Daphnia pulex: one gene and its partner. The protein of the gene in region 1 interacts with the protein of each later gene in a pairwise test. Links are inferred from orthologs where the notes say so. Each region holds a gene or a part of one and is shown on either strand. Other genes may lie near its edges. The genes, in order: cytoplasmic protein NCK1-like and Down syndrome cell adhesion molecule-like protein Dscam2.

Evidence for each region.
Region 2: the proteins of cytoplasmic protein NCK1-like (region 1) and Down syndrome cell adhesion molecule-like protein Dscam2 interact in a two-hybrid assay, tested with the Drosophila melanogaster proteins (3 studies listed by BioGRID). The link is inferred for Daphnia pulex from reciprocal best matches to the Drosophila melanogaster genes dock and Dscam1.

Annotation. Positions count from the first base shown.
Region 1 is NC_060024.1:8,484,170-8,488,637, forward strand, and holds the start of cytoplasmic protein NCK1-like, read right to left. Parts: upstream 2,957-4,468; 5' UTR 2,763-2,956; coding exon 2,741-2,762; intron 2,655-2,740; coding exon 2,229-2,654; intron 2,159-2,228; coding exon 1,915-2,158; intron 1,851-1,914; coding exon 1,706-1,850; intron 1,627-1,705; coding exon 1,306-1,626; intron 1,242-1,305; coding exon 1,147-1,241; intron 1,084-1,146; coding exon 912-1,083; 3' UTR 1-911. Other genes in the region: trimethyllysine dioxygenase, mitochondrial-like, read right to left, coding at 3,539-3,809, 3,878-4,102, 4,190-4,468. UniProt on the Drosophila melanogaster protein: Adapter protein that links cell surface receptor tyrosine phosphorylation to downstream signaling pathways and effectors, many of which are involved in regulation of the actin cytoskeleton.
Region 2 is NC_060024.1:11,654,620-11,658,441, reverse strand, and holds part of Down syndrome cell adhesion molecule-like protein Dscam2, read left to right. Parts: coding exon 1-5; intron 6-75; coding exon 76-317; intron 318-384; coding exon 385-540; intron 541-613; coding exon 614-741; intron 742-798; coding exon 799-1,225; intron 1,226-1,290; coding exon 1,291-1,522; intron 1,523-1,587; coding exon 1,588-1,764; intron 1,765-1,835; coding exon 1,836-2,002; intron 2,003-2,282; coding exon 2,283-2,444; intron 2,445-2,507; coding exon 2,508-2,663; intron 2,664-3,060; coding exon 3,061-3,201; intron 3,202-3,463; coding exon 3,464-3,630; intron 3,631-3,700; coding exon 3,701-3,822. UniProt on the Drosophila melanogaster protein: Cell surface receptor involved in guidance and targeting of growing nerve axons.

The DNA of each region.
Region 1 (4,468 bases):
AAATCATACTACAAATGGGTTATACGAGCACACACACACTCTGGGGGGGGGAGAGAGAAGAATAAAGACGAAGACAGTTATGTTTGAAAAAAAGGGATTAAAAAATGTTTCTTATTTCGCAATGTTCTTTACTTCTTCCTCCCTCTCTCATTCTGTGGGACTCAGCTTCTACATGGTTATGTGGTCGGGTGTTCAAGGGATGCGAGAGACTAGATTCCTCGATACCAACACGAGTTTTAAAAAAATTAATAATAATAATAACGCACAGTTCCACTGAGGTCTATGGTGATGACGAGTGAGCGACCAATCTGGGAATGAAAGCAAGCGAATCCCTTCTTAAACCCACACATCCCTCAATTTAACTGAAACCCTCAAAAAGATGGCGATAGAATGATTATTTGAAGAAAAAATTGATAATAATCAAAAACCAAAAATTTGAATAAACGAATGGACCCGTGATACCACCGGTGCCCTCCTGAAGTTATATATTTTGTGTTTCCTTTTTCACTCGCCATCTCTTCTCATATTTTGGAAACCGTTACTTTTTGTTGTTGTTGTTGCTGCTGTGCCCCTTTAGTGTTATCAATCAAAATTTAAGGAAACTAACTGGGAGTAAGTCTGTCCAATATATCGGGCTAGCTACGAGATTAAATTCATCAAGTGAGCTTGAAAACGCACTCTCCAAGTGCCCTTGGGTCGTATCTGATGAATGCCGAATAATTGCATAAATGAATTAAATGGATCGTTGTCAACGGCGAGAAAAAAGTTATTGGGGTGGGGGAGCTATCGAAAGAGATGAGAGAGTTGTCTCTTCTGTGTTTTTTTTTTTTTTTTTTATCCTTCAAAGAGAGAACAGTGGGTTCGTAATAAACCCACACATTTGGTTAGAGCTACTTGTGTTAAGACCGCCATTAGGCCATCGGTTGCATCGGTCTTGTCGCCGGAGTGGGTGGTGCAAAAGAAGGTGGGATATATCCGACAGGCTTGGGTAGTGGTCGGATAAGGAAGAGACGTTCTCCTTTTTCTGACGTGAAAATGGGGGATCTTTGGTAGTGGTCTACCAACTGGTCGATAGAATGGAACCTAATTCGAATATTAATCAGAATGTAATTGGAAGACTATGAAATGAATATAATCCGATCTTACCTCCGCTGACCGATGACATACAAAGCTCCTTCGACGTGGACTCGGAAATGCTTATTGCGACCGGGTGCTTTCAGAGACACGGAGTAATCTCCAACCTATTATTTACAAATGAATTAGTAAACGTAAACTCTAAAATAGTTTTTTTTTTAAACAAATTACGTTGGTTTCAGATGATCGCACAAGAAAGTCTCCATCTTGACCATACTGATTAAGTAGATTATCGCATTCAGCTCGGGTGATGGCTCCGTAAAACCAGGATTTTTCTTTCAAGTGAGGGAAATTAGGATCCTGGCTCAGGCTAGCAGATACGGCGGGAGGTGTATTCAAACTCAAGGCATCCAAACTTCGCCCCATGCCGTCTACTGCGTTACTTCCGTTGTTCGGCATCGGGGGCAAATTGCTGACAGGAGGCCCACCTGGAGCACCATTACCACCAGGTGCTCGTTGACGGAAAGGTTCGGTCAAAAAGTCGCTAATCTCCTAAAGAAACAAGAAGAACAAGTTTTATTGTAACGAGCATAACGTTACCAATAATTAATTAGTCACGACGAAATAATACCTGAACGTAGTTCTTTGGAATCAAACCAATTGAACCATTGGTGTTCCGGGCTCGATACCAATCCGGATCTGCAGGTGGACGATCAAGAATTTCAAGTCTCTCGCCTTTAACGAAGCTTAGTTCTTCGTTATTTTGTGCAGCAAAGCTGTAAAATATATCAAATACCAAAATAAATTTTAATCCAAATTAATGACTAAAATTCGGCTTACCTGTAAAGAGCAACTACGACATCCAAAACATTCTCGGCTGCTGAGTACATGTGTTCTCCCGCAGACATAACCATAGCTGATGCAGCCGGCGGTGCGACGCTTGCTGTCATGTTTGCTACAGGCTGCTGCTGCTGTTGTAATGAATCTGGGAGGGTATAATTTGATGGAAACCATCCAATTTGGTTTTGGTATTGACCTTTCCACCAACCATCACTGCTTTTTTCAAGCACGAGCACCTTTGTTCCTAATAAATGCATTGATTGAAGTGTTAGTAAACATACTGGGGGTGTTGACGTCAATTTGCAACAAGTTACCTTTCACAAGAGACAATTCATCAGTTTGCTGAGCAACATAATTGTAACGAACAAGCGCCCAGCCTTGGTGAGGCCCTGCATTGAGATCATGAGCTGGATAATGTGATGTATCAGGAGAAGGGCGCTTGATTACTACTGGAGAATCAACTTCTCTCACGGGAGAGCCACCGGGACTGTTGGAGGATTTGTTGATGCTATTCCCTTTTTTCACTCTCTTCTTGATTGAGTCAAATATAGATGGTTTCTCCTTCTTCACATAATTGCTAGGGACATATCCCCATTGGTGTTGAGAATTTTGAACTTTCCACCAATGTTTTGAGTCATCCAGCAATAGAAGTTTGTCATTCTTCCTTAAACTCAACTCCTGTGATCCTTGGGCAACATAATCATACTTTGCAATGACATAACAGTCTTCAATGGCTTTGCCTGAAACGAATGCAATAAACCAACATATAAACATCAACTAATGACAACTGCATAATGAGTCACCCTATAATAATAAACCAACATACCCATTTTTAGACTGCTAGACATTATGTTGTGCGACCCTTAGCGGACACCAATGAGCAATCACTGCCCAAAAATGCTTTGATTTTGAGCAATACTCAAGCTGAACGATGCAAATTCAATTCAATGACTCGTCTTTATCGATTTTAATCCTCGAAAAACTTTTCGTGGGCAGGGCCAGTTTTTAGTTAGCTGCCATGTTGAATACGATGCCTGCTGAGTTGCCATTTACTTTAAAGGCTAGAGCGGAGCTGACGAGAAATAAAATGTGAAATTTACATTGTAAAAAAAGTTTAGAATTTATAGAGGATTGATCCATCAATTTTGGTCATTGGAATGATTTCCGCGCATGCAATATCGTAACAGATTACGATTATTGCACTGTTGCATTTTCAAATAGTTGCTCAGCCAAGAGGGAACTAAGAGACTTATTTCTATTTATGCTGTACTTCATTTAGCTAGTTTGACTAGTATCCACGAGCCGCAGGTGAAACCATCCCAATCTTTCCACCTCATGATGATCGGGTACCATAACCACTGGACCACGCCAGTAATATCATTTATGAATTTTTTTTACTACACATTAAATTGTTTTATTCACATTTTATTTTTGCGGAGCTGACGAGTCTTTTATAATTTTTTTTAAATTGATGATTATTTATTTTCCGGTAATCATATTCAGTTTACATTAAATTCGAAAATTTCTATGCGTTTCCAAATGCGGGTTTAAAATAACAAATAATTTGTCTTGAAAATGGTATTGTTTTATTGTGCATTGACGAATTAATCGTGGCGCAGTTTAATCAAGATATTATTCCATAATGTCGCGCTTTGCTCATAAAGTCCGATCGGGAATAATAACAACCTCTCAATACTCTTTCACCCTGATAACTTTCACGCCCATGCAAGAGCCTCCAGTTATCAATTATCATCACGGTTCCTGGTGAGAGACGAAACCGATATTCGTTTTCTTTTTTCTTTACGAGCGTCGCCATGGTTTTTAGATAACGATAATGGGTACCGACTTCCTCTTGTGGGATACCAGAAAGAGGCGACCGATCTAGCATGTTGAACCTGAATAAAGAATAAATTTACTGTAATTAAAATAGAAACGCCTTTTTATTCAGACAAAAGTATCTTACCGAATCTGTTCCAACTTATGGCTCACTGGATGATGACGGAAGATGGGACCCCAAGAAGAGAAATGCTCACCTGGTTCAATATACTCGGCTTCCATATTTACTTTGGACAAATAATCGTAGGCAGAAGGATCAAGCTGTTTTAACTGCTTAGCCACGTGAAATCCGTCTACCAAGAAAGATTCGCAACCCGTCCCATTGAAATGAGTACAATGAAAAACCAAAAGCCTAAAACAATGAACGGATAGGATAGAAAAGGATAAATTCAGTTCAAAAATAAGAATTAAATCAACAAGAAAAGAGGGAAATCCATACCCTTGCGCTTCAGTAAAATAAGTGTTGTCTGTATGGGCTTCTAAATAGCCGTTCAGGTAACCCGTATCCTTATGGTCGAAATTGGTACCGGTTTCCCAAAACTTTCCAAAGACCGTGTGGGACATACGGCAGATACGCTCGATAACCGCGCTGGTGTCAAGTTTCGTTGGTGGTACTTGCTCTATTTTGACGAAGCCGTACTGAAAGACCCGGCGATATATTTCACGTAATATTTTATCATCACTCATCAGGCGTTGATGCGAAATGGGCTCTAAACCC
Region 2 (3,822 bases), about 3.2 Mb from region 1:
CTCAAGTACGTATCTCCCTACACAACTAATACGGAACCGTTCCATTTAATCATTTCTGACGATGTTTATTTTTAGGATGTACACGCAATATTCCGTGGTTGTCCAAGCGTTCAATCGTGTCGGCGCCGGACCCATGTCTGACGAAGTGATCCAGCACACGGGCGAAGGAACTCCAGAACAGGCCCCTCAAGATGTGACGTGCACAGCCCTAACTTCTCAATCCATTCGGCTGTCTTGGACATCACCTCCTCTGACTACTGTCAACGGAATTATCAAGGGTTACAAAGTCATTTACGGACCGAGTCATATCTGGTTCGGTAAGTTGTCTCATTGTTGTGCAAGTCTGACAAATTCGATGGCGTCATCCTTTTGTTAATCCAACAGATGAAACCAGCAAAGATGCCAAAATTATCACCACCAGCGAGACTATCCTCCACGGATTGCGCAAGTACACCAACTACAGCATGCAAGTTTTGGCTTTCACCGCTGGCGGTGATGGTGTCAAATCCGTACCCGTTTCCTGTCACACCGAACAAGATGGTAATTATTTGCAAAATTCGCATGAATAACATTTCATTAATAATAAAATCCCTGGAAATTATTTATTTTTCAGTTCCTGGATCACCTTCGGCTGTCAAAGCTCTTTTGATGACTCCGGATTCAATTTTAGTCAGCTGGAAAGCACCGGAATTGCCAAATGGAATCGTCAATCAATACACCGTTTACATTCAAGAAGGATCGGTAAATGATTGACATGTTATCATTGTTAGAATTGTAATACAACTTCTTTAATTTCAGGAGGATGCTCGTAGTCAGAAAGTGTCGCCATCTCAACTAAATTATGAGGCCAGCGGACTGAAGAAGAAGGAGCGCTACAATTTCTGGGTAACGGCTTCCACTAACGTCGGAGAGGGAGAGGCTTCCAAGACCGTCACGATTGCTCCTGGTACCCGTGTTCCGGCCAAGATTGCGTCGTTTGACAACACTTTCAGCGTCTCGTACCGCGAAGATGTCAAACTGCCCTGCCAGGCAGTCGGTGCTCCATTGCCTGAAATCCAGTGGAAAATCAAGGGAACTCCTTATGCCGCATCGGAACGAGTTCGCCTACTGCCTGAAGGATCTCTCCTCGTCCGTGAAGTCACTCGCGATGATGCTGGAGAGTATACCTGCACCGTCGAGAACATGTACGGCCAAGACACAGTCACTCACCAACTCCAAGTTCAAGGTGACTTTCTCAAACATCATAAGTTAAGAAAACGAATTATTAATTTTTAAAAATTTTATCGATAGCTCCTCCATATCCGCCTCACCTATCGTTGGCATCCACCACCACTACGTCTATTACGATCAAAGTGAAACCGCGAAAGGAAGAAGAGACACCTATCCACGGATACACTGTTCACTACAAACCCGAGTTCGGCGATTGGGAGACGACTCAAATCGGCAACTCTCTTCAGGATTACACGATCGAGAACCTTTGGTGTGGAACTCGTTATCAACTCTACGTCAGAGCCTACAATGGGTATGTTTATCATTGAAGCACAGAGCTCTTTGTTGGTGTCACGTAATCATTCAAATTCGAATCAGAATCGGAACGGGAGAAGGGTCGGACGTGATCAACACACGGACCAAAGGATCAGCTCCAGCTGTTCCGGATGCCAACCGATTTATCGAAGGTTCAGCTAGCAGTGTGACACTTCATCTAAGTGCCTGGTCGGATGGCGGTTGTCCCATGCTTTACTTTGTTGTCGAGTATCGCGGAAAGTATGTTTTGATTTTCTGAATTTGATTTTGAATTATCCGAGCGTCGGCACTCATCTTTGTTTTCCTTCCAGGGGAAATCAAGACTGGACTTTGGTTTCCAACAGCGTCAAGCCCGGTGGCAATTTCGTCGTACTTGATCTCAGCCCGGCCACTTGGTATAATCTTCGTGTGACTGCCCACAATAACGCAGGTTCAACTGTTGCCGAATATGAGTTTGCCACTCTGACCCTAACCGGAGGTAAATATAAACAAACACTGACGGAACCTTTTTTCTTCAAGTGGATCTTAAGCCGCCGATGTTGTGAATGGCTGTCGAGTGGGGTTGTGTTTAGTTTAAAGAAACGGGAGGGGTTCGCGGTCTAGGCGGAAGAAGGCAGCTTTAACAGTGTTGACTTTAGTTTTCGGCTTCCGACAGAGGTTGCCACAGAGTGAATGTTTACGCAAACGGCTTCCGTTCAAAGATTTCTCCATGTCAAGTGCTCAATATTAAACTGGAACGTATTATTTCATTTCAAAAGGAACGATCGCCCCAGCCAGGGAAACATCAGAGAAGGAAAATCCGCTACTGGCCATGTTGATGAATTTGAATCTGGTGGTTCCAGCTGCCGCAGCCATTATGGTTATTATCGCCGCCATCGTCGTCATTTGCGTCATCAAGGGCCGCAACAACGGCCACAAAGGTTTGCTTTTGTTAAATTATTACTCGGTTCATCTCTTGTTTCATTTTCATTTTGTTTGGCCAGATGATGTCATCTACAATCAAGCTTCGGCCAGCAATGCGACCATGAAACGTAACGGTGGTGACATGCGTGATGAACTTGGTTACATCCCTCCACCCAACCGCAAGCTCCCACCTGTGCCAGGAACCCAATACAACACTTGCGACCGGATCAAACGCGGTAACTATTCCATTCAAAGTATTTTTTTTTTCATTTCATCCTTTCTTTTTTTTCTTACTGTCGATTCAATGGTATGCCATGAGTGTTTGCAATGCACGTTTATTTTTCAAATTCTCTTTTACAATCAAAAAAAGAAAAAAAGAAAAAAAAACATTTGGTAGTCGACGATTCACTGATTTTTTTTTTTTTTTATTTATCCGGACGGTTCTGCGTTTGTGACGATCCTGCCGCTTATTTCCGTTTCCGTTCGCTATATTTGTATTGCGTTTTTTCATTCCCGAATTTTGTTTTTCTCTGGCTATACTCATTCCATCCATACATCGACGAAAAATACCTGACAAAACACACACAACACACACAAAACGTACACTTACGCAAACGAAAAACAAAAAAAAAGGTCACGCAGACTGTCATGCCTATCGGACGCTGGACCCACGCCGACCTGTTTATGACGAACTGTCAATCCACCCACCCCCGCGCCGGAATGTAGAGGTTCCCGGTGAGGAGGTAAACCAGTCTGGGGCTTCGTTGTACGCAGGTAAATGAAAACCACCCACTTACCACTCCTCGCTTACCTTGTTGTGTCTCATTTTCTGCCTGGACTTATATAATCTTAACACTTTTTCTTATACCCTCGGTTGAAGGCATACTTTAACAAAAAAAAAAAGAAAGCCGATGACAATCTGTGTGGTACTCTTTTGTCGTATTAACTGTGTCTTTTTATTAACGAAATTGGGAATCTCAACAGTCCCGAAGGTATAAAAACGTCACTAATGATAATTCTCGGTATTTCCTTCAAGGTATGGATGATGAGATCTGTCCGTACGCCACGTTTCATCTGCTTGGATTCCGCGAAGAAATGGATCCCAACAAGACAGGAAACCAATTCCAGACTTTCCCTCATCCCAACGGAGGACAACCACCCCAACAGGACATGAACCACCACCGCCAAGCTTCCCAATCGATGGTAATCCGATGACCTTTTGCGCATTTCCGTACTCATACTTATTAACCGTGATCCGTTGCGACAACATTAGCCCCGTCCCGGAAACCGAATGATGCGAATGCCCAACGGCGCCACTTATGCTCCTGAAAACTGCTACGACGATCCGGCTAATTGTGACATGTACGGAGGAGCGGAAAGCAACTCTTATGCTTC